4 linked regions of the Arabidopsis thaliana genome follow. The protein of the gene in region 3 purifies or fractionates together with the protein of the main gene of each other region. This does not show direct contact. Each region holds a gene or a part of one and is shown on either strand. Other genes may lie near its edges. The genes, in order: FKBP53, AT2G42520, CDKC;1 and AT3G58510.

Region 1 (7,053 bases), on a different chromosome or scaffold from region 3:
CTCTCATTGTAGCTCTGGGTTTGATCATCCATGCTCGTAATATCATGGGTACACCGGGACAAAGAACTTATATGGAAACAATGTTCCCTCTTTACAGGTCAGTAAAACGACCAAATATAAACCAAACACACTATCTCTGTCTCTGTGTAATATTCTTGAGATATATACATTTCATTTGCAGGTTTTTTGGGTTTGTAGTTTTGCACATGGACGTGTACGCTGCTAATATCTACTTCTGGAGGCGATACCGTGTGAATTACTCCTTCATCTTTGGATTCAAACAAGGCACTGAACTTGGTTATAGACATGTTCTACTTCTCAGCTTTGGTCTTGGTACACTTTCTTTATGTGCTGTCTTATTAAACCTTGACATGGAAATGGATGCTCAAACAAAAGATTACAGATTAGTCACCGAACTTATCCCCCTCTTTCTTCTCGTAGTAAGTTCCTTCTATCTCTCTCTATTTCTCAGTACATTTTACACAACTCAATCTTTGTTTTTAGTAAGACTCGTTTCTCTGCATATTGCAGTTAGTGATTATCATTGTTCTCTGCCCCTTTAACATTTTGTATCGGTCAAGCCGATTCTTCTTCCTCTCGGTTCTGTTCCGCTGCATTGCTGCACCATTTTACGCGGTACCAACAACATATCCTCCTCTCCATTCATCTGAAGCATAAACAGAAATGTTAAGAAGAATGTCTTCCATTTTTGCAGGTGCATCTTCCGGACTTTTTCTTGGGAGATCAACTAACAAGCCAGGTTCGAGAAAATCTATACTCGATAAGATAGCTTCATACTTATTTTGATCGATGATTTCTGATTTAAACAATCAATGCTAGGTTCAAGCACTGAGGAGTCTAGAGTTCTACATATGCTACTATGGTTTTGGAGATTTCAGATATAGACGACGAAACACCTGCACATCAAATATTGGATTCAGAACATTCTACTTCATCGTCGCCGTTATACCTTACTGGTTACGGTTTCTTCAGTGCATCCGAAGAATGGTGGAAGACAGAGATCTGAGTCATGGCTACAATGGCATCAAATACCTTTTGACCATCGTTGCTGCTTCTCTTAGAACAGCTTATACTCTAAACCGAGGAAGCAACTGGAATATCACAGCTTGGGTTTTCTCAGGAGTTGCAACGTTTTACGGAACTTACTGGGACATTGTTCTTGACTGGGGATTGCTTCAAAGAGGATGTAAGAATAGTTTCTTGAGAGACAAGCTTCTTGTTCCTCACAAAACCGTGTACTACGCTGCAATGGTGAGAGCAAACAGAAAACAGCAATAACCTCTGTTTTTGTTTTTTCTTTATACATATATGGTGAAGATTGTTGCTTCATGTACTTGGCAGGTCCTGAATGTTTTGTTGAGGTTAGTGTGGTTGCAAACAGTTTTGGATCTGAAATTCTCTTTCTTGCATAGAGAAACTATGGTCGCGCTTATGGCTTGCCTTGAGATCATACGCAGAGGTATCTGGAACTTCTTTAGGTAAGCTCCGAGACTGAGAAGATGGTGTTTTCATGCATGAATCTACACAAAACTAATGAAATGTAATTGTTGATTAGGCTGGAGAATGAGCATTTGAACAACGTTGGGAGATACAGGGCGTTCAAAACTGTCCCGTTACCGTTCAACTACGAAGAAGATGGAGATCATCATAACAATTAGCTTAACAAGAAAATACTTGGTTTCACAAAATTACCTAAACAACAACTAAACTTTTCACCGCTGTTCCGGTATACAACTGTAACGATCGAGCTTTGCCTCTCCGCTGTATTCTTCAGAGAGCCAACTCGAGGCTGGCTCACTCTCAGGGTCAGACCTAAGCGATGGTAGAATTATGGAGAAATCAAGTGGAAATCTCTTCGTTCCTTGGTAACAAGAGATACAAACACTTAACTAACTTGGTTACATACAACAAAAAGACATTACTTTGTACACTTACTTCAGATTTTGACAAGAAAGATAGAAACTCACGTCATTGTACAGTGTGTTTAGGTCTCAATATTGTATTGTTTTGTTGAAAGATAGGTCTCATATTGTTTTATTTAAAACAAAATTTCTGAATTTGCGTTTACATGAGAGAAAATTATAGATTTTTTTTTCAAATTAACTCTAGTAAAATAATGAACACAAATTAAATGTTATCAAATATGAAGAGTATCTTGACAATACCATTTACTTTACGATTTATGACAGACCAATATATGGGCTTCATTGGGGCTTCATTGGGGCTTCATTGAATTTCAAAGTCTGTTAAGGCCCAAACTGAGAGCGCGGTTGCACAAATTGTCGAAATTTCTCGAAACCGCTTTAATCTCGATATAAAGCTCGTCTGCTAAAAACCTTCGATTAGGGTTTTAGTCTGTAGAAACAAAGTTGCCGCTTCGATTCCAAGGAGTAACCTAGCTGAGAAAATGGGATTCTGGGGTTAGTTTTCTCTGCTCAGTGTTTTCTTTGATTTTCCCGGAGCATGATTCCTAGGTTCTGATTTTGTGTTGTTAACATATGCAGGACTTGAAGTGAAACCTGGGAAGCCTCAAGCTTATAATCCAAAAAATGAACAAGGAAAGATTCACGTGACCCAGGTACTATACTCTTGTTCCTTCGAGCTGATTTGGGATATGAATTGTATATTTGTGTAGTCTAGTTTTGGAATCTGAATATGTTTGATATATCTATTGATGTATGTATGTTTTGCCATCATTCAGGCAACTCTAGGTACGGGTTTGAGCAAAGAAAAGAGTGTGATTCAGTGTTCAATAGGAGACAAGGCTCCTATTGCTTTGTGTTCATTGTTGCCAAACAAAATCGAATGTTGCCCTCTGAATCTTGAGTTTGACGATGATGATGAGCCAGTGGAATTCACCGTGACTGGTGACAGAAGTATCCACTTGTCTGGATTCTTGGAGTATTATCAGGACGATGAAGATGATTATGAGCATGATGAAGATGATTCGTATCCTTTCATTGTTACTAGTTTACTTTAGCAAATAATGCTTTCTTGTTTTTCTATTATTCCATCTGTTTAGAAATCTTAATGTTTTCATTGCGACTATATTATAGAGATGGTATTGATGTTGGTGAGTCTGAGGAAGACGATTCGTGTGAATATGATAGTGAAGAGGATGAGCAATTGGATGAATTTGAAGACTTCCTTGATAGCAATCTTGAAAGGTATCGGAATGCTGCTGCCCCAAAGAGTGGAGGTACTTTTTCTTACAGAGATCCTTATCAGATTGCATCTTAGTACTTCCATTTTAGCTTAGTGTGATTGCTTGATTCGTCACTCTTGTCTTATAACTAGAAGGTTTCAAAAAGATATTGATAAAAGACTTTTCAAATGTATGTCCGTAAATTTAAGCTTTTGTACAAGTGTGTCTCCTTGGTGCTGATCCTGTTCTACATTTGTGTTAATAGTTTATATGATTGATCTTTCCTTGTTCTGTTAAAACTAATCTGAATGATATCTTTGCTAGTTATAATTGAGGAGATAGAAGATGAAGAGAAACCTGCCAAAGATAATAAGGCAAAACAAACCAAGAAGAAGAGTCAAGCTAGCGAAGGTGAGAATGCAAAGAAACAAATCGTTGCCATAGAGGGTGCCCATGTTCCAGTTTTGGAAAGCGAAGATGAAGACGAAGACGGTTTACCTATTCCTAAAGGAAAATCATCTGAAGTAGAGAATGCGTCAGGTGAGAAGATGGTTGTAGATAATGACGAACAAGGTAGTAACAAGAAACGGAAGGCCAAGGCTGCTGAGCAAGATGATGGACAAGAAAGGTACTACTCTCTTTGCTCTCTATTGACTCTGAGGACAGAGTTCACATATTTTATATATCGTGGGGATACGAAGTTGTTTCTAAAATCTGTTCCAGTGCAAACAAGAGTAAAAAGAAGAAAAATCAGAAAGAGAAGAAGAAAGGGGAAAATGTCTTAAATGAGGAAGCTGGACAAGTTCAGACGGGAAATGTTCTGAAGAAGCAGGATATTAGCCAAATTTCTTCAAACACAAAAGCTCAAGATGGAACTGCAAACAATGCCATGTGAGAACTCTTATTTCTTGATTTGAGAACTTTTTTGGTGATAACAGATTGTGTTTATGTCATTTGTGAAATATCAGTAAGTAAGTATTTGAATTATTACTCACATAGATCACAAAGTAAAAAACGCTTATGAGTATACAGCGGTTCTTTCAAACTTTTTCTCCTAACAAAAGTCTGTGCTTTTTTATGGTATTATTGCAGGAGTGAAAGCTCCAAGACCCCAGATAAATCTGCTGAGAAGAAAACTAAAAATAAGAAAAAGAAGAAACCAAGTGACGAAGCTGCAGAAATTTCTGGTACTGTTGAGAAGCAAACCCCAGCGGACTCCAAGTCTTCTCAAGTACGGACATACCCAAATGGGCTCATTGTTGAAGAGTTGAGCATGGGAAAACCCAACGGCAAGAGAGCTGATCCTGGAAAAACGGTATGCACACTTAAAGTCATAAATTGCACACATAATATCATATGGTTACTGCAATCTCATATAGATTATGCAACAAGGTGGTAGTGTGATAAGAATGTGGGTGTTGAAAGAATTGACACTAGATAGAAAGTGAGCAAAGTAATACCTTGTTAGACTTAGACCTAAGAGCACCAAAGAATATACATTAAATAGGAAGTGAACAAACTAATGGCTTGTAAAACCTACAAACACTCAAACCCTTAAGTTGTGGTTAACTCTGGCTAATTGTCTTTGTGAACTTGGTTTGAATCCAAAATCCTATTAGAGTGCATCAATGTATTTGTGTGTTTTCCCAAATCTTTTTGGAGCTCATTCTATTGTCTCTGAGTGCAGGTTTCTGTGCGCTATATTGGAAAACTTCAGAAGAATGGGAAGATTTTCGATTCCAACATTGGAAAATCACCATTTAAGTTTCGTCTAGGTTGGTATTATAACTAGATTCAAAGATAATAGCTTGGGAAATTGGTTGAGAATTACAGTGTATTGCTGGTGTAAGTGATACTTTATGTTCTTATTGTAACGTGTAGGTATTGGATCAGTCATTAAGGGATGGGATGTTGGAGTTAATGGTATATATCTTAATTTCTTACTGTTTTTTTACTTATAACTTTGTTCAAAAAGTGAATCGTGTTGTATTCATCTCAAGTTTTTGAATTCCACAGGCATGCGCGTTGGTGACAAAAGGAAGCTTACAATTCCTCCATCAATGGGGTAAGTAAACTCATTTTGATTTATGTTATTTTGAATTAGCAATGTTTTGTTAAACCTTTTTAATGGGATGATAATATTGTTTGGCTCCCAGGTATGGTGTGAAGGGTGCTGGTGGCCAGATTCCTCCTAATTCTTGGCTGACTTTTGATGTCGAACTGATTAATGTTCAATAAAACTGCCCTGAATTCATAGAATCTCTGATGAGGGGTTTCTGAATGGTGTTGTAGCTGCAAAAGATTGTTTCTTTCCTTTTTAACACTTGAATCTTTTTGAAAAATGGATTTGTGTTTCAAGTGATAAGACCATAGCATTTGTTTCCCAGATTTCCTCTTCCAGATAGCTTTTGTTGGCCTATTTTACACTTGCTTAAAAACCAAAAATTGGAATCATACAAATGCTGTTTACATAGTAGATGGACTTGAACCCAAAAAGGGGCCAATCAACTTTAAGCCAGATTTTATAGCAACGACAACCCCGACTCGTGAATCCGTTCAATTGAATAATGTAAATAATACCCCTTTTTTTTGGTGTAAATAAAGTGATTATAGTTTCTTCTTCATTAGTTAGTATTCAATGATTCATTTGTGGAAAGTCTCTCTCACTAGTCTCTAATCAAGGTCTCTCTACTCTCAGGTACAGTTACGTCACCATCATCACCGTGACGAATTTGTCATTTTTGTACCGTCAGAAAGACTTTGACCTATTTCTTGTTCTGCAAGTTCTTTTTTACTGTTATTTCTGACCTTTTGACCCGTTTTTATTTTTTTATTTTTGTAACATTGATGATCCACCATACGTCACCATTATTCTCCGTCGCAATGGCAATCTCTACGGCGGGCCTCTGGTTTCTGATATCTTAATGTTTTTAGAATTGGAATTTCTCATTTTTGATGTTCGGCTCCTAAGTATTTGATGGACTATGATTGTGAACTTTAGAGTTTGCAAATGTAATTATCAATTATGCCTCTGTTTACAAAACCTTATGTGATGTTCATCAACACAATTAAATCAAGCATATATATTTCAGACCAAGGACTTCAACAACAAGAAAAAAAAAAACAAGGAGTGATAGGCATGAACTAAGAGACTTCCCCAAACTAGAGTATTCAGTTTTTTTTTTGCAACACACTAAGCAACATAACATAATCATCCATCAACGCTTAAGTTGTTTTGAATAGCAGAATTCACCTTCTCAAGAATCTTTTGCCACTCTGTCTCTTCCCCTGTTTCACACATATACACTAATCCGTTACATAGTAAGTTTTTAATCATAAGACAAAAGAAAGATAAGTGTAATAAATTACCTTGATTACATGTTTCTCCATGAAGCTTCCTTCTAGCTTCTTTCAAGAACGAAACCACTTTTGGATTTATTCGATTATCCTTTGCTCTGAGACAAATATCTCCAACTTTCGCAGTAGTCACTTGGTTAATCCAAGGACCTTGTTTCCAGAAAAGTTTGAAATCACATCCACAAATTTCGTTCCCTTCCTCGTCTCGTTCATGCTTCGTCCTCTCCACCTATATACACAAAAACCGTATTACTCAAACCGGAGTTGAGATTTCAAACACTAAACCGGGATTAATTTCTAGAACTCACCGTAACGACGATAGCGTCGTAGAACTTGACTTCTTCGGTGACGGAAGGAAACGTGGCGCAGACCTGGGTGCCTTCATGGACCTTGGGACATTCGATGTCTTGCATCTGCTCGGAACAAGCTCGAAACCTCTCTTCGAATTCTTGAATCTCGTCGGAGTTTTTGAAATCGTCAGCTGGATAAAACTCGTCGTGCTCATAAGAGAAGCCGTTGAAGCTGATCCA
Region 2 (8,033 bases), on a different chromosome or scaffold from region 3:
GAAAAGAATGGAAATGGGTCTAAAGATCAGCGTGAGAAGGTGGAAAGAGTGAGAGTTAAGGATAATGCATTTGTTGGAAGATCTGTGAATATTGATTTGGTTGATGATACTGCGTTGTTTGATGTTGTTCCTTTCTACAAGAAAGGTAAAGATCATTCTAAGAGACCAGTAACTGCACACACTGATAAGGATGCACCAAGAAAGCATAAGAAAGTTGGAGTAGAGAAACCGATTGATAAGGGAAATGCTTCTAGCATTGTTGAAAGGAATGCGTCAACCAAAGTTTCTGACTTTCGTAACAGTGGAGAAATGAATGGGAAGCAGTTGCGGATAATGTACTCTAGGAACCAAATGGAGTCGATGAGGTATGCCCACATTGCGAATCAGAAGAAACTGTGGAGTGACTTGTATGCTAGACTCCTACCTGAGCTGGTGACTGAGTACGAAGGTTTGAAGAATCACAAGAGTATCCTCGGTAACCCTCCACTTACTTTACTTTTATCTTAGCTGCTGCATTTTGTGGTGTTGCCTGTTTTTAGTTGAACATGTTGAGGAAACTTTTAGGTCTAATAGAAATATGTCACTCCAAGTTAAGATTACTTAGCTCATGTATAACCTTAAGCTATATCTGCTGCATTTTTGTTTGTGTGTGTCACTCAAATGGCTTTTTCTTTGCTACGGTTTTATGGTGATTTCCTTCTCTAATGGTCATCTCAAAGTGACAAATCCAGTCGGGCTTAGTGTCTGCGACTCTTTCAGCAGTGGTTGTTCCTAAGTATCTTTTTGATAGGGGCCGTTTGTTTTCTTTTCCACAGGTCCCATATCGGCTGTACCAAGACGAACCCGTCTCTTTGTACATTGACCTGAAGAAATCTGTCGAAGCCTGTGTTTCATAAATCCTGTGTTCACCAATTTTTCCTTTTCTAAGAAACAATACATTCTTTCTGTATATAGATTCTTTAGTTCAGATTGTTTAAAGGGGTCTAGAGAGTTTGTTTGGTTCAAAGTGTGTATGGCCATGATTTTATCGGCTAAAAAGTTGTACATGTTCATACATCTTCAATAAAAATCAATACCTTTGAAAGCTAAATCTTTTTGATGGGCTTAGTTCTTTTCTTTGTTTTTATTGGTTTCTTCAATAGAAATCAAAACTGAGATTCCAAGAAAATGTGACTTTTTGTTTCTTCATGAGAACATTTAGGCAAGGAATTGATGACTTAACTACTTGAAGAAGACTATGTTGTAAAAGAGGAGAAAACTGAAGATAATGACGATTACAATAGCATTTTGAGGCCTGCGTTTGCTGTGGATGGAGAACCTGATTTCGATTCTGGACCACCAGAAGACGGGATTGAATATTTAAGACGAGTCAGGTATATATGTCACTCTGTTTCAATCTTTCTGTGTATCTGCATTTAGGCATATATGGTTAAGTTGTTTCCATCATTTAAGGTGGGAGGCTAAGCGAATTCCAAATGTAAAAGTAGCCAAGGTAAGTGGAAGCAAGTACAGAGAGAAAGAGCAAAGTGTTTACATGCCACAAATTCCCAGAGCACCTGCAACCGGTGAAGGAATGGGAGGACTCGTTGCTTTCCGACTTCTCACACATTCGTCTGGTATTCCTTTCTTCCAACTTGCATACTTATCAGTGTTTCTCTTAACGGACAAGTAATGACTTTAAGTTTTATGGGTTTTTCACAGGCTTTAAAACAAAATGGCAACGAGTCTTTAGGAGATGTACTCATGGAGATATTCAGTAAACGTCCCCACACAAACATTGATGAGTCATTTGGTGGGATGGTTTCAGAGATACAAGGAATGGACTCAGTGACACGGGTATCAAAGCTGAGAAAGCGGATATGTTTGGTGAAAAGGAGAGCGGTTTAGAGAGTAGCGACTGCAAATGGGTAGTAGCATTATGTGCATCAGTGGACACTCCTCCGGATGCTGATACTAGTGCTTGTCTCAGAGCTCTTGTGAGAAAGTGTGCGAGTCTTCGTGCGTTAGAGGTTGGAGTCTTGGAGATGAACAAGTTATCATTATGGCAAATATGCTCATCACCATCGCAGGCAGATATTTTGGCCAAATGGAATGAGAGGAGAAGTGTGTTTACAACAGTTTAAATTTTAAATTCATTAAAAACTAAAAGAAAGAGAGTTCAACATAAGTCGCCGACATACAATCCAGAACGAGAAAACTAAACCGACACGCAAGTTGAAAGATTGATGAAAACGGGACGCAATCTGGTTTGATAAGAGAAGAACAAAAAAGTCAAAATAATTAAAAAATATCTCTCGACCTCTCTTTTCTCTCTATTGATTCTATCGCTCTGCGCATTTGTATCTTGCTCTGTCTCCGATACCAAAAGGTAATTCAAAGGAATTTTAGGGTTTACCGTTGATTTCTTCGATTCGATTTTTTGGGACGTGTTTTGAGGATTCTTCTATCTCTGGGTTTACGCTGATTGATTTCGAGAGCTGTAGCTAGGGTTATCTGCTACTCTTTGTTGCAAATTTTGTTTTTGTTATTCCTTTTTGAGGTGAACATTGTTCTTCTCTTTGCGTGATTCTGTTGGCATTTGTCTTGTTATATTCTTCGTTTGATTATATGCTCTTCTCCGAAGACTGGACTTTTGTTATTCGGTCGATTCGATTATGATGTTTTTTGAGGTTTTGATAGGGCTTCGTTATTTAAAGATGTTCCTAGCTGCTTGCTATTGATATCCGTGGAGTGCTATTGTTCTAACTGAAACCCATCTTGTAACTTTCCAGGTTTTTGTATTCTATTGAAGATTATAAACTAAAGGGAGGAGCTTTGAGAATTTGATTGTTGATATCCAAGGATTTGCAAGCTAGTTTTTTTTTTACGACGTTATACTTTTCGATTATGAGTGCATCATGGGCTGATGTAGCTGACTCAGAGAACACGGGTTCTGGGTCTTCTAATCAGAATTCTCATCCTTCACGACCTGCTTATGTTCCTCCACATCTAAGGAACAGGCCAGCAGCTTCTGAGCCTGTTGCTCCATTGCCAGCTAATGATCGTGTAGGTTATGGTGGTCCACCTTCTGGCTCTCGATGGGCTCCTGGTGGTAGTGGTGTTGGTGTTGGAGGTGGTGGTGGTTATAGGGCTGATGCAGGTCGTCCTGGCTCTGGCTCTGGCTATGGTGGACGAGGAGGTGGTGGTTGGAACAACAGAAGCGGAGGGTGGGACCGTAGGGAACGTGAAGTAAACCCCTTTGAAAATGATGATTCCGAACCAGAACCAGCTTTTACTGAGCAGGATAATACGGTTATTAATTTTGATGCCTATGAAGATATTCCGATTGAGACCAGTGGGGATAATGTGCCTCCTCCTGTTAACACATTCGCAGAGATAGATCTCGGGGAGGCATTGAATCTAAATATCCGTAGATGCAAATATGTTAAGCCAACACCTGTTCAGCGTCATGCGATTCCGATATTGCTTGAAGGGAGGGATTTGATGGCCTGTGCTCAGACAGGGTCGGGGAAGACAGCTGCTTTTTGCTTTCCAATCATTAGTGGAATAATGAAAGATCAGCATGTACAGAGACCCCGTGGTTCACGAACAGTCTACCCTCTTGCAGTTATTCTCTCACCAACAAGAGAGTTGGCAAGTCAGGTTGGGGTTCTCTTCTGATGTCAAGATTCTTCGCTTTGGTAGAAGTTAGTTAGTTTCTCATATCTTGTTCTAATGATTTTTGGCAGATACATGATGAGGCTAAAAAGTTCTCTTACCAAACTGGTGTGAAGGTGGTTGTTGCATATGGAGGAACACCTATTAACCAGCAGGTATGTAATGAGCAAATAGTTTGTTTTTTTCTACTTTTTTGTTTGAACTTTTGATTTCTGAGTTTTGTTTCATGCGTCTGTCACTGCTGTCTGTTTTGTGTCGTCTCTTAGGCTGATTGTTTTGGGTTAAGCATGTTCGTTTCTAAGGCTGCTTAACTTAGTTAAAAGCATGTTTTGGTTTGGAGCCAGCATTTTTCTATATTAAGGATTTATCAATATATGACATGCAGAAGCATTGCTATATGTCGTAGCTGTATCTATGTGTTACTTAATCTGTTTTCAAAAGTCAACATGTTGATCTTGTGTCTTGTTGTTTGTGCAGCTCCGGGAACTTGAGAGGGGAGTCGATATTCTTGTGGCAACGCCTGGTCGATTAAATGATTTGCTCGAGAGAGCTAGAGTCTCAATGCAGATGATTAGATTTTTAGCTCTTGATGAGGCCGATAGAATGCTTGACATGGGTTTTGAACCACAAATTAGAAAGATTGTCGAACAAATGGACATGCCTCCACGTGGAGTTAGACAGACACTGTTGTTTAGTGCTACATTTCCAAGAGAAATTCAGGTTGGTTACTTGTCTGTAAATCACTTTTTCTTTATTCACCTTCTCATTGGTTGAAATATCATTTTTAGTGAACTTCTTCACTTTCTGACTACTACCCCTGCCTTGCTCCGAATTTTTATTTAAGTTTCTTTGCCATGTGTGTTGATTCTTGTGTTCCATACTTTTTCCTTGCAAATTATCTGCTTGTTACATTTTCTATGTTGGGGTTTTGTCGTAACAACCTTCTGTGTCCAGTTATATCCATTTGGTCCTCTGAAAAAAATGAGGGGGAAAAAGAAATGTCCAACTTAAACTGAAAGTGTATGTGAATAGTATATACAAAGCTATATGCATGGTTTCTGCAGAGGTTATATCTTTTCTGAGAGAGGTTTTCTTGTTGTAAAGCTGATTACATGACTTTTAGTCCTACTATTATTCTAGCTAGGCTATGCAGGGGTAAATTTATCCATTTTTATAAAACGATGGTCAATGCCAGTTAACTGACATGGTATTAATAGTTCTATGTGTCAGAAGATTATATGCCACTTCATTAATGGATGATGGTGAACCTATTATGGCAAGCTTTAGATTAATGAAGTTTCATACTTTTGTTTCCTGATTAAGCTGCATAATATAGAATGTTTCTGCATAATCACTTGCAAATTTTAAAAGATTGTATTGTTTCATGTGCAGAGACTCGCAGCTGACTTCCTAGCAAATTATATATTTTTGGCTGTGGGTAGAGTGGGTTCAAGTACCGATTTAATTGTCCAAAGGGTTGAGTTTGTCCTTGACTCTGACAAAAGAAGTCATCTCATGGACCTGCTTCACGCTCAGAGAGAGAATGGCATCCAAGGCAAGGTACAAACTGATACTCCTCTTTTGTTTGGAAGGAATCATCTATTGTTTAGTTCATGATTTATTACCAAAGTAGCTGGTCTTGCCTCAATATTTCAACATGCTCCTTCATACTTTCTGATGATTGTATTCTTTCCATATTTTCAGCAAGCCCTGACCTTAGTTTTTGTGGAGACAAAGAGAGGAGCTGACTCTTTGGAAAATTGGTTGTGCATCAATGGGTTTCCAGCAACCTCCATTCACGGTGACAGAACACAGCAGGTTTGTTATTCAACTTAAAGCTGAAAATGTTGTATGTTAATGTGGACATCAAAATCCAGTCGTACAAATTCATTATTGAGACCAAAGAGAAGATCTCGTGTTAAAATATAGTTCATTGAACTAAAGCTTAAACATAAGTCAAAATCTGAAGGAAAAACTATTGAAATGCACTCTTTGATCATCATTATCAATAAGTGTTAGGAACTAAGTTATTGTGTTGCTATATATGCATTGAAGGAAAGAGAAGTGGCATTGAAAGCCTTCAAGAGTGGGAGAACACCGATTTTGGTTGCAACTGATGTAGCAGCACGTGGCCTTGACATTCCCCACGTGGCTCATGTGGTCAACTTCGATCTGCCAAATGACATTGATGACTATGTCCACCGTATTGGACGAACAGGACGTGCTGGCAAATCAGGACTAGCAACTGCCTTCTTCAACGATGGCAACACCTCACTGGCCAGACCGCTCGCTGAGCTGATGCAAGAAGCTAACCAAGAAGTCCCTGAGTGGCTCACTCGGTATGCGTCACGGTCCTCTTTTGGTGGTGGTAAGAACCGGCGGTCTGGTGGTCGATTTGGTGGCCGTGACTTTAGAAGGGAAGGGTCTTTCGGTAGCGGTAGAGGAGGCTATGGCGGTGGAGGAGGAGGGTATGGCGGCGGAGGAGGCTATGGTGGTGGAGGAGGCTATGGCGGCGGAGGAGGCTATGGTGGTGGATATGGTGGTGCTTCAAGTGGTGGATATGGTGGAGAACCTCCAAGTGCTTGGGACTAAGCTTCCAATGTTCTTTTTGTTTTGGTTACAACTTTTGACAAAAAAAATATTTCTTCTACATTCACAAAGAGAGTATGTATTGCCCCTTACACCTATGAGATTTCACTCAGGAGATGGATATATAACAATTGTTGATGTTTTAGGTGTTTTGATCTTTTTAGGCTATTATTAGGGGTTGTCATAAAAACAGTCATCAGTTTCACAGTTTCTTTATAATTGAGGATCAAAATGAGAGAAGATTTTGACAGATTTTTCCCGAATCCAACTCATAAATACTACTATGTTACTTGTAGTCACTAAAATGTAGTTTATATTTAAATCATTTGATACGTATTTAAAATGTGCTAGTGAGTAATTAACAGCTCTTCATTTCAAATGGTGAAAAAGAAATTACAACAAACTGATCTTATTGTAAACTATTGAACATGACTACATGAGTGGTTGAATCAGGACTTTGTGGCATTCTTAGCCTCTTCTGCTTTACCCTCTACGAACTCAGCCGCCTTGTTTCCGGCTTCTTTTCCTTTCTCAGTCACATAATCCAAAGCTTTCTTAGCTTCCTCAGTCGCAGTTTCATTGGCTTCAATGGTTTTCTCAACAATGTAGTCTTTTGTTTTCTCGCCATCCGCCAAGGCCTCCTTCGTCTTATCCGTCACGAAATCAGAAGCTTTCTTTCTATATATATATATATATATGTTAAGATTCATTATTGACAAACGATTTTAAAAACATATATCTACACCATGGAAACTCAATCCTCAACAAGGCCATTATAGTTGATTATAGTATGTATAAAACTGTTATGATGGGATTAACCAAAATAAAATAACTATCATGGCGAGTACGTAATGTATATGAGAGTTTTTGCGAGTACACATGAAGATAGCCTTAGTCACGAGAAAATTTGTTAAAAGAAAAGAATATAGACTCACGTGGCTTCGTTGAGGTCATCGAGGATGTTGCCGTCACTTTTAACGGCGTATATCAACGACTTCTTGCGCTGAGCAACGACGACGAGCTCACTCTTCCGGCCAACTCTGACGGTACCAACACCACTCTGCTTTGCTCCTACGTTGTGGAAAGAAGAACCCATGCCACTGAGAACAGCTCCTGATAAAGACATCGCCATGAGGACTCTTAAAGATGTTTTTTGGGAGGAAAATAAATACAAGAAAGAGTTTTAAGATGGAGAAAGTGAGATGAGAAAAATCTAACCTCCAATAGTATCGTTTTATAGATCTCTCGACCAATGAGAATCCAAAACTACACGTGTGAGTGCTAGATATTTTTGCGCATTGCTATTATCTTTAACTATCGAATAAGAAGAGTTTTCGTTGGTTCGTACTAGTTACGTGTAACCATTTCTATGGTTACCAAAAGAAAAAAGAGGTCGGCCATCAAGTTGTGGTTATAACCGTTATACACATGTTAGCATTTTTGGCTACGATATTTACATGTTAGCATTTCTGTTTTATTTGCAACTTTCAACATTAATAACTAGACTCGATAGAGATATATATATAAAGGAAAAATGTATTAGTCGTTAAGCTGAAAATGTACAAGTCTTTGTGTATGTCTATTTAGTCATTTTTAGCAATTAGCTAGGTTAAAACAACTTTTAACATTTTTTCAATTAAGTACAAACTGTAGTTAAACTACTAATAGTATATAGATATATTTCTAAGAACCTAATACTCCAATGTTAAATAAACAAAAACAAAAACTCACACTTCAATGCCTAATTGTTATACTATAATTATAAATACCAATGTTACTTTCAAATA
Region 3 (7,285 bases):
CACATGGTTGGGGTTGGTAATTAAGTCAGGTCTTTAAATTGAGTTCCAATAAAGAAAATAAAGCTATCCAGGAGCAAACCTTATAAGTCACCTTTAGATCTGCTCTTTGTCCTAAACCTTTTGTATTTATTCTAGATTAGTAGCACTTAACATTAAGTAAACACTAACCTATTCTTTTGAGCTTCACAATTGTCCCTATCTTTTTCAGAGACACGGAAAAACACAAATTAAGAATTTCATCCAAAAATAATAATAACACTAAACAAATGATGATACAGTTTGAGATGCATGATTAGAATCTGTTAGTAAACTGTAGACTGATGGATGTGAACAACACAACGATTGCAGATGCCAACCACAACTTAAGATAATTCTTACCAAAAAAAAAAATCAATAAAACTTTGCATAAAAGTCTATAAATTTGACGATTTCCACAATATAATATTGTGGGCAGATAGATCTTTCAGAATACCTTTGACTTATACCCTCAGATAGATTATATTAGGTAAATCCTCTCATGGACTAGATCATTGCTAATTTGCTATTTCAACTGTTTAGTTTTCTAACAATTAGGATGATAAAAAATCTGGAAAACTCTCTTGTACATGAAGCAAACATGTGAATCAACACATTAACAAGCAGCACTCAACAACAACAACAACAACAAGACATCAGAATTATTACAACTTAGAATCCTGCAGTTTTGCTAGCTACCCCAAGAGGAGATGAGATACCTGAATTGAACTCTGGTTGCTGACCTTCGATAGCAAACTCCTACAGCTTGAAACTGAAACATGGTAACAGAGGCTTCTCATTGCCAATGTAGACTTAAATATGTGTTGCTTTGCATCATTTATGGACCAGAAAGTGGGATAGTTATACGTGTTGGACATAGAAGTCACAAATGGCTGACCACTCCCTTGAATTAAGAAACACAAGAATAAAATATCACTGAAATCACCAGAATAGTAGGAGATGGTAGAACAACTCCACTACGTAGTCATCATCCCACAGAAGAAAGTAGCTTGGAAGAGGAATGTTTTGGTTAGCTTGAAAACTACACCATCAGACAGAAAAATCAGTAAGTAGGATCATATCTCAACCCCATTGTGGAATATGAACCAAATATGCAAGTCAATTTCTTCTACAGACAGTGGATTGGATGAGAACATTGTTTATATATAGTCTTAACATTATTTTATCATTAGTTCATTTTGAAACTTCCATCAGTCAGATTCCCTATATATATAGTAAGTTCATAAAACTAAGAAGAAAAAGCCTATATATCTTTCATATCATTGTGGACCAACAAACTTAAACAAAACCAAAACATCAACGGATCAAGTTCAAGAAACATATATAGCACATACTTAAGATACTTATCTATCTTTCCCATCGCCCAAGTCGAACTCTAATATCGGTTACAAGAAAAAAAACCTAGCATGATTCATAAGAGATAAAAGAAATATCATCCATACGAAACAAAAGAAGGGAAGATTTATGTATAGGGTTTGATTCAAGTGAATGACCATAGAGAAACATTTTCCTAGAAATCACAAAACCCAAAATTAGACCTACCCACACCAAAATCAAACTTCCGAAATAACCGTCCTTCACCGATGTTAGCATGAAACCTAAATTGAATCGGGTGAGTTAGGAGTTAGGACCAATAGCCGATGTTAGGGTTTGACAATGAGTAGGGAGATAGTGAATCGTGTCTTCCTGTAGGTAAAGAAACCGAGATCTAGGGTTTGGTCGAGATTCGAATGTTCTCGTTCTTCCTTTGAACCAGAATGGTCGTGTACACGGTTAAATGGCGTGATAAGCACGCTAACACTTCAGGAGTAATCTGTTCCTATCGCACCTCTTGTCACAGACGGTGAACCCACTGGAAAACCTAAGTGATTTTCTTAATTTTCCCGCTATTTTTGGGATTTCTCAAATTCGCCTCCAATTTTATTTACGAAAATCAAATTTTATCTCGAGCAGTAAATCTAGGGCGTTCGAGTGTCCACTAGTTTTTCTCTTTCTTTATAATATATCTAAGCTTGAAAAATAAATATTAATCAAAATGTATGAATGTTTACTTTATAGAACAATTAATGTATGATTTTTGTAATTGCAATTTGTTTTTTTTTTTTGTGACTTGTGAGTGTGCTTGGCATTGGCATGTTAAACAATTTTGTTGTCAAGTCTTTTATGATGAGAAAGATACATAAGAAACATAATCCCATAATTCCAATTTTTAAAAAATGGAGTTTGTATTTTAATAAATACTTTTGAAAAGATTATTTTTGTTGTGGTATTTTTGAAAACCGGTCAATAAAAATGATATTTGATATTTCTTTCATTATTTTATTTAAATTTAACGGATGATCGCTAATTTACACCAACCGCTTGTTCAGGGTTAGACCGGTTCAAACCGGACAATTCATAGATTTAAACCGAAACGCTAATTACATAAATAAGCTGGGAAACCTACGGAGAGAGAGTTGTCTGAGAGAAAAGGAAAGCGATCGAGAAAGACGTAATTTGATCATCGGAGTAAAAGATATTGTTCGACAGTGGGACTCCCGGGAACGAAGATGGCGATGGCATCATTCGGGCAGCTAAATCTCGAGGAACCTCCTCCAATCTGGGGATCTCGCAGCGTTGATTGCTTTGAGAAGCTCGAACAAATTGGTGAAGGCACTTACGGGTTATTCACTTTCTCTTTAATTCAATTTCACTCTTTGGTTATTCAAAAGGCTTAATTTTTACTTGGGATTGATAAATTATTGGCCTTTGAAGCGATTTTTGATTGTATGATTAGGCTTTTACAATGCCTATGTTGTGTTGCTTTTAGGAGATTTGATTGTTGTTGTTTTGCTGTTGCAGTCAAGTTTACATGGCTAAAGAAATCAAAACTGGTGAAATTGTGGCTCTCAAAAAGATACGTATGGACAATGAAAGAGAAGGGGTATGTGAATTCTTCACTTTATATGGACTATACGTTTTTTTTATGATGCTCACTATGTTTAGAACAGATGCAAGTTTTTGTTTACGATAGGAATTGTAACCCATTGTTTACAACTGGTATGATGCAGTTTCCTATAACAGCTATTAGAGAGATAAAGATTCTGAAGAAGCTTCATCATGAAAATGTCATTCAGCTGAAAGAGATTGTGACTTCACCAGGTTTGTTTAAGGAACACATATGTTGCACTGAATTAAGTTAGCTATTTCTATATAAAGAGGTCTAAACATTTTGTGTTTTGAATGGTTCTGTCTCTTAAAAGGTCGGGACAGGGATGACCAAGGAAAGCCAGGTTTGTGAAAAAAAGTGATTTCAACTACTGTCTTAGTTTCTGCTTATTGAGGATTTCTTCTTAACTAAAGGTTGTGGCTTTTTCACCTATAGATAATAACAAATACAAGGGTGGCATCTACATGGTTTTTGAGTACATGGATCATGATTTGACTGGACTAGCAGATCGTCCTGGACTGAGATTTACTGTTCCTCAAATTAAGGTATTGCACGGCTAAATAGCTCGTTACTTCTATTAGCCTTTTTCATACTTATTGTTCAACTTTATTCTAACACTCAATCCATTTAAAAGTGTTACATGAAGCAATTGCTTACCGGGCTTCACTATTGTCATGTGAATCAAGTGCTTCACCGTGATATAAAAGGTGATTTTCCTTAATACAATGTTGATGTTTGGTTATCACCTTTACTTGCATATTAACCTAGATTTTGATCCAGGCTCAAATCTCCTTATCGACAATGAGGGAAATTTAAAGCTGGCTGATTTTGGGCTTGCACGGTCGTATTCTCATGATCATACTGGAAATCTTACAAATCGTGTCATCACATTGTGGTATAGGTAAGCCTAAAAATCGTCATTCAAAGTTTACATGATATACATAGATAGTCTTAATATTATGGTCTTTGCTAATTCATTGTTATTACTACTTTGCTGATTTACATATATTGCGGCAGGCCCCCTGAATTACTACTTGGGGCTACAAAATATGGCCCAGCAATTGACATGTGGTCGGTTGGTTGCATATTTGCCGAACTTTTGCATGCAAAACCAATCTTACCTGGGAAAAATGAGGTCAGCGTTTCATCTTTGCTGAAAGCGCAGTTCTTTTGAAAATTTCAGATGTTAAGACAGTGTGCTTTCGTGCCACTAATAATATAAGAATCTACATGGTCTCCTGGTTGCATTGTGATATCATTGGAGTAGAAAACCTAAGGGATTAACTAGAATTAGATTTATCGGCACTTTTATTTTGGGACCGTGGGAGGCTGGTTAGGTTCTTTGCATTATATCATGTATACAAAATGGTATAGACGCAGTTATGTATACATGTTATTGATAATCTCAAAAAAATATGTGCCATCTCCTACATTGTTTCAGCAAGAACAATTGAACAAGATATTTGAGCTTTGTGGATCACCTGATGAAAAACTTTGGCCTGGGGTTTCCAAGATGCCTTGGTTCAACAATTTCAAGCCTGCACGGCCCTTGAAGAGGCGTGTAAGAGAGTTCTTCAGACAGTAAGTAAAGTAAACCATTATATATCTCCGCTTTACTTTGATCAGAAGATTTCATTTGGCTTTACTTTCTCTTCTGTACAGCTTTGATCGGCATGCTCTTGAATTACTGGAGAAAATGTTGGTGCTTGATCCAGCACAGGTATCAGAGACCTTTATTCTTATTCCCAGCGAATTATCTTTCTTAAAAACTGTCTTTTACTGTTTTTTGGATGAAACATACCTCTTCAAGTCAGGACATTGTTAACACCATTTAGATATTTAATGTCTCCTTTTTTTCTTTCCCCTGTGTAGAGAATATCGGCAAAGGATGCTCTTGATGCCGAGTACTTTTGGACTGATCCGTTGCCATGTGACCCAAAGAGGTATTTGTATATTCTGATTTTCTCTGACAAAGTTCATGAAACTCATCTGGTGCATCATCATCTAGCTTATTAGACAGGCGATCGTGGGGAATTTTTTCTGACTAAATTAAGGTTTCATTTCAACAGTCTGCCCACATATGAATCATCACATGAGTTCCAGACAAAGAAAAAGCGGCAACAGCAGCGCCAAAACGAGGAAGCAGCAAAAAGACAGAAACTGCAGCATCCACCGCTGCAGCACTCTCGCTTACCCCCATTACAACATGGTGGACAGTCTCATGCTGCTCCACATTGGCCTGCAGGTCCAAACCATCCCACTAACAACGCACCACCACAAGTACCTGCTGGACCCAGCCACAACTTCTATGGGAAGCCGCGTGGTCCACCTGGTCCAAACCGCTACCCTCCTAGCGGAAACCAGAGCGGGGGTTATAATCAAAGCCGAGGAGGTTACAGCAGTGGATCATATCCTCCACAAGGACGTGGAGCTCCTTATGTGGCTGGTCCTAGAGGGCCTAGTGGTGGCCCGTACGGGGTTGGACCTCCTAACTACACACAAGGTGGTCAGTATGGTGGCTCTGGTAGCTCGGGAAGAGGGCAGAATCAGAGAAACCAGCAATACGGATGGCAACAGTAAAGAGCTCTAATGATTTGTTGATCTGATATCTTACTCTTACATTTAATGTGATACTAGTAATAAACTAATAATAGATTAATATGAGAAACTGAATCTCTTTCTTTTCCCAATTCTTTCCAAGTCTTATTTCGTTATCCAAACATTTTCTAGTAATGTCAAGATGGAGACTGACAGTGTGTGATGTAAAAGAAATGAGCAATGAGAACAGAGCAAAACATGCCATTCTTCTTCATAAGCTTTCAGACGTCTTTATTACACAACTCTATATTGAAAACAAAACCTCTCCAAAGAAAAACTAGAGTCTCCAAGTGTAATCACCTTTCCTCATACCAGGATTTATTTGTTCCATAAAATTATGAATCTTTCGTTTAAAAATCTTCCTATTCTGCTGCTGTGTATATATTTAAAACTGATTAACAAGCACAACCACCTCGTTGTTGCTCCCCTTGAGCCGAATTGCTCGAAGTCTTTAGATTCACATCAACCATATCCTCTTGTTTCGTTGAAGAAAGTGTTTCCATTCCTGGTAACGCTGCTGCAATCTTGCGAAAAAGTGGCTGCAAGTTTCCAAAACACCAGAACAAGAAAGCCAAGCGTTATTCCAAGAAATCTCAAGATCTTAAACGAGTAATGAGAGCATAGTTGCATCTCTCACCTTGATGTTAAATCCTGCTTTTGCACTGGTCTCAATGAATATTACTCCATAATCACGAGCTTTGTTATCACCTTCCTCAATCGACACTTGCCTGTCAAATGGAAATATCAAGTTGGATAGCTAAATAGAAAAAGCTTCCATGTCTCATTCTCGTCAAGTGTTTCTTACCTTTTGTCGACGAGATCTGTTTTGTTACCAACCAGAACAATGATGACATCGCTACCTCTCTCTGTACGAACATCCTCAATCCACTTGGATGTGTTCAAGAATGACTGCCTATCTATACATTAAAATAACAAAACAAAAAAGATGAGACTTTACACAGCATCCTTGCAAAAAGAAGGATCCTGTGTAGATTGTACACAAAAGAGGAAACTTTGATGGTAAAGCTGAAAAGTTCTCACAGAAGAAGCCTTACTTGCAACATCATAGACAATTACAGCAACAGAAGAATCTCTGATATAACTTGGTATTAGACTTCGAAATCTCTCCTGTCCTGCAGTATCCCTGCACAGTAATATGATTCAAAATGACATATAACTAAAAGAATGAACATGGTTGATACACAATGCTGAGAATTTCCATGGACATTTTGATGTTCCATTCAAACATTATACCAAACAATAAAGATTATGCTCATCTAGATATATATTTGATAAAGGTGAAAAGTTTTAGATCAAAAGATAGGAGCATATTGAATTGAATTACCATAGTTGGAGACGAACAGTCCTATCCTCAAGGTACATTGTTTTTGACAAAAAATCAATTCCAATGGTTGCCTGCAACAAAAACACCATAACTAATATCAGAATTTGATCCAATGAACACAATGCTATGAGTTTCTAGCAATTCTGAATCTGATCCATTCATTACAGCAACAGGATCGTGGATCTCACAGACAATGGATCAAAATTAATTTTGATCGAGATGGGATAGAAGAAAATGATCCAACCTGATAAGTGGTATCGAATTTGTCGTACATGAAACGAGTGATGATGCTGGTCTTGCCAACGGATTGATCTCCAAGGAACACGAGCTTGTACTTTGCTAATGGTGACACACTCGCCATTTTTCCCGATTTGAGA
Region 4 (7,638 bases), on a different chromosome or scaffold from region 3:
TGATAACTTAGAGAAAAGTTAGTTTACCTGACGACTTTCATGGTTTCCTCTAAGAATAGTGATTCGCTGTGGATACCGTACTTTCAAGCCAACCAACAGCTGGAAATGAAATTAAAGAGGAAGAAAGAGAAACAAATATAAACGTTAAGAAGAGAATACATCCAGTATGGAGACAATGTATTTTATTTAACAAAATAACATGACCAAAAATATGTATTTCCACTTGAAATCAGATTATTGAACAAAAAAGAAGTTTGTAAATGGTATAGACTTGGTACCGTAACAGTTTCCACAGAATAATATCCACGGTCGACATAGTCTCCCATAAACAGATAGTTGGTATCAGGACACTGCAAAAGAGTGTAAGATTAACATTTAATCAGGTTTTGTAAACGCCTGATGGTAGATGGACACCAAAAATTAGAACCCACTTTCAAATATAACCCCTAAGAAAAGGCTCTAAATAGTTCTGATTATTCAGTTAGAAACCACTCACACTTTGTAGTCCCCAGCCATAAATAATAATTGCTAGAAAGGATTGATGCAGACTAAATAACAAAACATGCATCTTTATGTCCATTGTGCAAGAGTTATAGATGTTACCTTTCCCCCAATACGGAAAAGCTCTGCAAGATCATGGAACTGTCCATGAATATCACCGCAGATTGTCACAGGGCTTTTAACAGGCTGCATACAGTAAGAATATAAAAATTAAGGCTCTTTAAACCAAATGATTGTTTAGTTACACAATCTACCACATGGGTTTTATAATTGGCACGAGATGCAAGATCAAGAACTGACCTGAACGTTGCTTTCATCCATTAAGATCTCCTTAGCTTTCTCACATAATGCTCTGACCTAAAGCAAATAAAAAAACACTGCACATAATAAATTCATCTTTCCCCTCTTTTACTTCCTAGAGAAATACAGGACTAACAGTATTATCCAGTTTAACATTAAAATGTCAAATTAGATACACCAATTTGACACAAGCAACAAGCACAAAGATCATCTACAGCCAAGAAGACTTTTTTACAGCTACTGATCAGTTTTTCCCTCGATATTAGCTTAGAAGAACTTTTATCGAATTGCAACCTCTCTCTCAACTTCAGCTAAATCTATTATCATTTAAGATACATTCCCCCAATTGGAAAATCCAGTAATGCATCTAACTGATGAGATTTTAACTAGCCAATCACCTAATCAAAAGGATACAATTTTGGCTGTGGGTGAGACAAATCCACAATACAAAGCATATTGAAATGCGAGCTAATCGCCTATTCAGAATCCAATACAGCCAGAAATCATTAAGAAACAAAAAAAAATGAAATCCATTTCTATCAACCCGTAAAACTGACGTGAAATGAGCTCTACACCTATACTAGAAGATCCTTCTCGAAGAATCAGATCATCATATACTCACAGAAATAATCCACCCTTGATTTGAAACAAAATCTGAGATCTAATCACCGAAATGGCCCAAAGTTCACTCGAAAAACTAAATTACAGATCCAATTTTAAACGAAGAAAACGAAAAGGTGCGAGGAAAGCTATATTCTAACACAATCACAGGCACCTGTTGCTCGGAGAGAGGCTTGCACTGCATGAGCTGCGAGATCTGCTCATCTAGATCGAGGGTTGCATCCGTTGGAAGCGAATTCGCGCCCATGTTTTTGGTAGTGCGTCGTCGTCTTCTTTCCTTCAAGTCGGATCCGGAAAACAGATCAGAAACGAGGCAAAGGTTTCCAGATTAGGGGCAGCCCTAACCCTAAATTGGATGGATTCTGCGTATTCTTCGCTTTTTTCTTTCTCTCTCTCTCTCGCCTTCGTGTGCAGAGTGAGAGAGGAAATCAAAACAAAGGGGCGCGTGAGGTAAAGGGGCGAGTGGGTTTGTAGCTTTCGAGCTGTGTCTTGATTTGACCATTATATCCTCCTCGTTGAGATCTAAATGATAAATTGACTAAAACACCCTTTAGTTTTCTTATAAAAGTGTTTAAATAGGTAATACACACAAAATTTGTAAAGTAGTTTTATTTCTTTTAATTAAACACACAAAAACTATATAAACATACAATACAACTATTGTTTTGAAGAATTTTTCATTTTTAACAAACATTTTAGTTTTTTCTCAAAAAACTATAATCTAAGTAAAATGTGTTTACATAAGGGTCTAGCTATGGGAAAATACATTATCAACTATTTATTCATAGCTAATGAAATGTAATTTTGATTTAGCCAAAACATCATTTTAATTAAAATTTGAATGGTTACAACATAAAATTTTGACCAAAATTTATGTGACATATATATTTTTATTCTCTCTAATGATGCATACTAAAATTTATGAACGATGAATGTAAAATACAAATTGATTTGCTCCTTCATGAAAAATAAATTTAACCAAAAAAAAAAGAAGAAATCTCTAATTATTGACAATTCATGAGAGTCCGAACATAAAAATAATATTCAAAATATAGGTTCATGAAAGATTTAGATTACTCTATTTTTGGAAATAAATATGGTTTGAACTTTTTTTTACATATAAGTTGAATCGTTTTTAAGTTAGATACAATTAAATTCAGAATAAACAATTTTAAAGTTCTAAAGATTTAAGTGTAAATTTGTTTCCCCAATAATTATTGTATATATGTTTTTCTCAAACTCTTATGAGTGTATATAATTAGATTTTAAATCAATTCTTAAAATATAAAACAAGCTAATCTCATTATCATACCATATTTTTGGCTTAAGGTCATTTTGAAGATTAATAACATGTCTATTTTATCGCGTTGTGTCCGATCCAGAAGGTAAACATCGAATTTAGGGTTTTTCTCTCCCCCGAGCTTGCTTTTCCGTTGGGTGAACGACTACCGTTGATTTTCTTCGTTTTTTTGGATACCGATTCGATTCTCTCTCACCGATTTTTGAGGTTCTTTCTCTATATCCTCTCGTTTTTTGTTTCCGCCTACGTTTATCTCTCGATTTCGAGCTGTATCAACTAGCTAGGGTTCCTTAATTGGTTTATTTCGTTTGAGGTGATACTCCTTTCTTCTTCTGTTTGCGTGATACGATTCTAATTTGCTTGCTTCGCTTGGCGTTCCCTGGCTGGGTTCTCTTTGTTTCTCTTCGTCTTGGTAGATTTGATTTCGGATTTTGGGGGTTTCCTGCTTATGGAGTTCGATTTTTACATTACACAGCTGCTATTGTGATTTCTATGATTGCGTTTGTGCTAACTATTGACCTATTTGGTATTTGCCAGGTTCTCTATTTTTCGTGGATAAGAAGATAAAGTTATTGTTTATTGATAAGTTTTCTGCTGGGAAGTTGCAACTTTTTCTAGATTTAGGACGTTACAAATTTCAATCATGAGTGCATCATGGGCAGATGTGGCTGATTCAGAGAAGGCCGTTTCTCAGTCAAAGCCTCCTTATGTTCCCCCACACCTACGGAACAGGCCATCAGAGCCTGTTGCTGCTCCTTTGCCACAAAATGATCATGCAGGGTATGGTGGTCAACCAGCTGGGTCTCGTTGGGCTCCTCCTAGCAGTGGGGGTGGTGGTGCCAGCGGCGGTGGCTATAGGAATGATGGAGGGCGCACTGGCTATGGTTATGGTGCTGGAGGAGGAGGTGGTGGTGGTGGTGGCTGGAACAACAGAAGTGGAGGGTGGGACCGTAGGGAACGTGAAGTAAACCCATTTGGAGATGATGCTGAGTTAGAACCGGTCTTTACAGAGCAGGAGAATACTGGCATTAATTTTGATGCCTATGAAGATATTCCAGTTGAGACCAGTGGGGGAGACGTGCCCCCTCCTGTTAACACATTTGCTGACATAGATCTTGGGGATGCATTAAATCTGAACATCCGGAGGTGCAAGTATGTGAGGCCAACACCGGTACAGCGTCATGCTATTCCAATACTGCTTGCAGAGAGAGATTTGATGGCCTGTGCCCAGACTGGGTCTGGGAAGACTGCTGCTTTTTGCTTTCCAATAATTAGTGGAATCATGAAAGATCAGCATGTAGAAAGACCCCGTGGTTCACGGGCGGTTTACCCTTTTGCAGTCATCCTCTCACCAACAAGGGAATTGGCATGCCAGGTAATATACACACCAACAAGAATAGAGTTTCTTCAGAAAGAAAAAATGTACGTGTATATAATATACACATTTCTCATTCTGTGATTTTCTTGCAGATACATGATGAAGCCAAAAAATTCTCCTACCAAACTGGTGTGAAGGTTGTTGTTGCTTATGGAGGAACACCCATTCACCAGCAGGTAATTATCATACACTTTTTTGTTTATTGGTTTTTAGCTTGTCATTGGAGTTTGGATTTTGCTACATGATTCTAGCACTGTTTTTTGTTTTATGTGAGTAGCAGCTTTCGCTTACTGATTTGAGTTCTGCTAGCTCTTTCCTTCCCAATGCCAGTCTCCTTTGTCAACATATGTTCTGATTTTGAAGTCAGCAATGCATAATGTTGGCGAAAATCAAATCTTGTATTACAAATTTTTTCATATGCTAGTTAACATTGTCGTATCGCTTGTATCATCTTTACATAACATGCAGAAGCATTGGAATTTTTAATCCTTGTTACAGGTGTTAGTTAGTCAAACAGTTTTCAAGCATCGATTTGTTGACCACATATTTTATTGTTTATTCAGCTCAGGGAACTCGAGAGGGGATGTGATATCCTTGTGGCAACTCCTGGCCGGTTAAATGATTTGCTTGAAAGAGCTAGAGTCTCAATGCAGATGATTAGGTTTTTAGCTCTAGATGAGGCAGACAGGATGCTGGACATGGGTTTTGAGCCACAGATTAGAAAGATTGTTGAGCAGATGGACATGCCTCCACGTGGGGTGAGACAGACAATGCTGTTCAGTGCTACATTTCCAAGTCAGATTCAGGTTGGTTTACTTGTCCATGAAACACCTTTTTCTTGCTCTTAAATTCTATTCTAGTGAAGTAGCATGGTAACAAAGAACAGGATAACAGTGTTCTTGGATTTATGTCTGTAACTCTGTTCCTTCCCAGATCATGAGGTGAATCTTTGATGATTTAGTCTTTAGAGTGTTATATTTCTTATGTGAGAACAGCTGCATAATATTCAGCACGCACAAGAATGATTGGTTCTTAACGTTTCTTTTAATATTACCGTATTTGTTTCCTGTGCAGAGACTTGCAGCTGATTTCATGTCAAACTATATATTTTTGGCTGTGGGAAGAGTTGGTTCAAGCACTGATTTAATTACCCAAAGGGTTGAGTTTGTCCAAGAGTCTGACAAGAGAAGCCATCTCATGGACCTGCTTCACGCGCAAAGAGAGACCCAAGACAAGGTAATGCATTATTTACCATCTGTTCACTTATCCAAGATTTATTATCACTGAAGCTCTGACTAATTCTGCCTTTCTTCACTTTTTATACACAGCAATCATTGACATTAGTTTTTGTGGAGACAAAGAGGGGAGCTGATACTTTGGAAAATTGGCTGTGCATGAATGAGTTTCCAGCAACCTCCATTCATGGCGATAGAACACAACAGGTTCGTTGATTGAGTTAAGTTGAAATTTGGATAATTGTGCACACTAAAGCTAAAACCAAACTATAGAAACAACCTCGATGATATTACTGAAATGAACTCTTTAAAGATCATCATCAGTAAGTTGTTCTCTGTTGACTCAATCTGATTGACTTCTTTATGTTGTTATGAATTCAAAGGAAAGAGAAGTGGCACTGAGGTCCTTCAAAACTGGGAGGACACCTATTTTGGTTGCAACAGACGTGGCAGCACGTGGTCTTGACATTCCCCACGTGGCTCATGTTGTAAACTTCGATCTACCAAATGACATTGATGACTATGTCCACCGTATCGGACGAACAGGACGTGCAGGCAAATCTGGAATAGCAACTGCCTTCTTCAACGAGAACAATGCACAACTGGCTAGGTCGCTTGCTGAGCTAATGCAAGAAGCCAATCAAGAGGTCCCCGAGTGGCTCACACGATATGCTTCACGTGCTTCATTTGGTGGTGGTAAGAAACGGTCTGGTGGTCGGTTTGGTGGCCGTGACTTCAGAAGGGAAGGCTCTTACAGTAGAGGAGGAGGCGGCGGCGGCGGAGGAGGCGGCAGTGATTACTATGGCGGAGGAGGCTATGGTGGTGGTGGATACGGTGGTGCTCCAAGCGGTGGGTATGGTGCTGGAGTGACCAGTGCTTGGGATTAGCCAATTAGGCTCCCCAATTTTTCCTCTTTTTAACCTGACTATTTATTTCTTCTCTTCTACATTCCCAAGAGAGCACGTGTATTTGCCCCCACCTTTGAGATCTCTCATTCAAGAGATGGATTTAACTAATCTTGCTATTAGGTGGATCTCTCTGTTTTTTCAGGCTATTTTTAGGATTTGTCCTAAAAGATAGACAGTAGTTTTTCCGATTTTGATCTTGTTCTTGGTTTCTTCTAACAATTTCATTTGTTAGTTTGAAATCCAATTTGTCTTTTTGTTTCCCTTTGTTGTTGACAATCTTTCTTGGTGAAATACAATCTCTCTTTATATCATTTTAAGGACTTTGTGCTTACATTGTTTAAACTCCGTTCCGTTACTTCAAAAAGATAAAATGCAGGTACATAAATTGTTGCTCTGTGTGAATTAACATACAACAATTAGATTCAACAACTATTGCTATTCAGCTTCAGAATCTTCTTCAAGCTCACTTCCTTCCACAATCTCTTCTTCTTCAGAGCCTTCTTCCTCAAGGTCATCCTCTGGCCTATCAAGCAAAAGTTCCTCTTTAGAGACCATGCCTAGCCCTCTCGCCCGATAAAGAAACCCTGTTCTCATCACATGATAAAACTTATCTCGAAGACGAGTGAGAGGATGCGGATCCACTAGTTTTCCTCGGCGATACCCTTCTTTGAGGATCACAGTTGTTGTCTTACACTTCAATGAGAGGTAGAAAATGCCGGGGTATCGCGTGAATAGACGAGTGAACTTGTGCGGAATGTTGAGCTCCGCTCTCATGCTTCTCAAGTAGTTCCTCTTGGTTTTCTTGTGGATAGTCAAGCTCAAGAGCTCGTGCAAAACAGCCACAGCTCGTTTCTCCATGAGATCGCTTTCCGGATCAATGTTACTCGGGTCATCGTAAGGAGATATGTAGGGAAGTTTTTGAAACTCATCCATCCATGCTTTGACCTTCTTCTGTGCTCCATATCCTCTAGGGAAACTCATAGGAAAAGTCAACGTAGACTGACCTCTCTTGAACTCGCGGTATCTAGACTCCTCCCCGGAAACATCATTGTCCTCGTTTCGCTTCTGCAGCGCCGAGAATGCGAACTCATCACGCCATTTTACAAGCTTTAAACACGGGTTACCATTAGAAGCCTTGACGAAGCAGAAATGATCAGGGTATTTCATGACTAGCGTCTTTTCGTAGTTATCGGGTAAACCGAGATCGAATTTGAGAGAATGTAGTGATCTAAGAGAGACAGTTTTTGATCTCATCATCATCAGAACTCTACAGAGTCTCTCCACTGTATCAGCCTCGTGGCTTTGATGAATAATCTCTTCTTGTGAGTCAAGCATTAGTGCTGTGTCCGTTAGCTTGAAACATGGTAAGCTTGCGTAACGAGCATGAGGAAATTC

The links.
Region 1: the proteins of CDKC;1 (region 3) and FKBP53 fractionate together in Arabidopsis thaliana (co-fractionation; one large-scale study listed by BioGRID). This does not show direct contact.
Region 2: the proteins of CDKC;1 (region 3) and AT2G42520 fractionate together in Arabidopsis thaliana (co-fractionation; one large-scale study listed by BioGRID). This does not show direct contact.
Region 4: the proteins of CDKC;1 (region 3) and AT3G58510 fractionate together in Arabidopsis thaliana (co-fractionation; one large-scale study listed by BioGRID). This does not show direct contact.

What each region holds. Positions count from the first base shown.
Region 1 is NC_003075.7:12,958,008-12,965,060, reverse strand, and holds FKBP53 (FK506 BINDING PROTEIN 53), read left to right. Parts: upstream 1-2,289; 5' UTR 2,290-2,428; coding exon 2,429-2,441; intron 2,442-2,525; coding exon 2,526-2,599; intron 2,600-2,722; coding exon 2,723-2,970; intron 2,971-3,077; coding exon 3,078-3,220; intron 3,221-3,490; coding exon 3,491-3,794; intron 3,795-3,889; coding exon 3,890-4,057; intron 4,058-4,258; coding exon 4,259-4,481; intron 4,482-4,853; coding exon 4,854-4,941; intron 4,942-5,047; coding exon 5,048-5,089; intron 5,090-5,166; coding exon of another isoform or gene 5,167-5,182; coding exon 5,183-5,231; intron 5,232-5,322; coding exon 5,323-5,404; 3' UTR 5,405-5,712; downstream 5,713-7,053. Other genes in the region: SHB1 (EXS (ERD1/XPR1/SYG1) family protein), read left to right, coding at 1-97, 182-440, 532-636, 716-760, 841-1,272, 1,363-1,499, 1,577-1,679; AT4G25330 (SAWADEE protein), read right to left, coding at 6,378-6,454, 6,536-6,752, 6,832-7,053. UniProt on the Arabidopsis thaliana protein: PPIases accelerate the folding of proteins. It catalyzes the cis-trans isomerization of proline imidic peptide bonds in oligopeptides. Histone chaperone possibly involved in H3/H4 deposition to the nucleosome.
Region 2 is NC_003071.7:17,702,496-17,710,528, forward strand, and holds AT2G42520 (P-loop containing nucleoside triphosphate hydrolases superfamily protein), read left to right. Parts: upstream 1-2,245; 5' UTR 2,246-2,368; exon of another isoform or gene 2,369-2,539; intron 2,540-2,702; exon of another isoform or gene 2,703-2,771; 5' UTR 2,772-2,886; coding exon 2,887-3,642; intron 3,643-3,728; coding exon 3,729-3,812; intron 3,813-4,134; coding exon 4,135-4,377; intron 4,378-5,049; coding exon 5,050-5,217; intron 5,218-5,361; coding exon 5,362-5,475; intron 5,476-5,712; coding exon 5,713-6,249; 3' UTR 6,250-6,565; downstream 6,566-8,033. Other genes in the region: AT2G42510 (survival motor neuron interacting protein), read left to right, coding at 1-448, 816-845, 1,232-1,373, 1,453-1,668, 1,808-2,123; COR15B (cold regulated 15b), read right to left, coding at 6,696-6,924, 7,182-7,378.
Region 3 is NC_003076.8:3,219,975-3,227,259, reverse strand, and holds CDKC;1 (cyclin-dependent kinase C;1), read left to right. Parts: upstream 1-2,471; 5' UTR 2,472-2,585; coding exon 2,586-2,698; intron 2,699-2,877; coding exon 2,878-2,959; intron 2,960-3,086; coding exon 3,087-3,177; intron 3,178-3,278; coding exon 3,279-3,308; intron 3,309-3,400; coding exon 3,401-3,510; intron 3,511-3,599; coding exon 3,600-3,672; intron 3,673-3,745; coding exon 3,746-3,866; intron 3,867-3,982; coding exon 3,983-4,100; intron 4,101-4,406; coding exon 4,407-4,546; intron 4,547-4,627; coding exon 4,628-4,685; intron 4,686-4,837; coding exon 4,838-4,908; intron 4,909-5,034; coding exon 5,035-5,545; 3' UTR 5,546-5,767; downstream 5,768-7,285. Other genes in the region: RABH1e (RAB GTPase homolog H1E), read right to left, coding at 5,959-6,102, 6,201-6,291, 6,369-6,480, 6,619-6,707, 6,909-6,979, 7,153-7,269.
Region 4 is NC_003074.8:21,637,243-21,644,880, forward strand, and holds AT3G58510 (DEA(D/H)-box RNA helicase family protein), read left to right. Parts: upstream 1-2,735; 5' UTR 2,736-2,807; exon of another isoform or gene 2,808-3,035; intron 3,036-3,259; 5' UTR 3,260-3,365; coding exon 3,366-4,097; intron 4,098-4,192; coding exon 4,193-4,276; intron 4,277-4,663; coding exon 4,664-4,906; intron 4,907-5,174; coding exon 5,175-5,336; intron 5,337-5,428; coding exon 5,429-5,542; intron 5,543-5,718; coding exon 5,719-6,222; 3' UTR 6,223-6,553; downstream 6,554-7,638. Other genes in the region: PP2A-4 (protein phosphatase 2A-4), read right to left, coding at 28-99, 279-350, 604-687, 802-858, 1,577-1,669; AT3G58520 (Ubiquitin carboxyl-terminal hydrolase family protein), read right to left, coding at 6,679-7,638.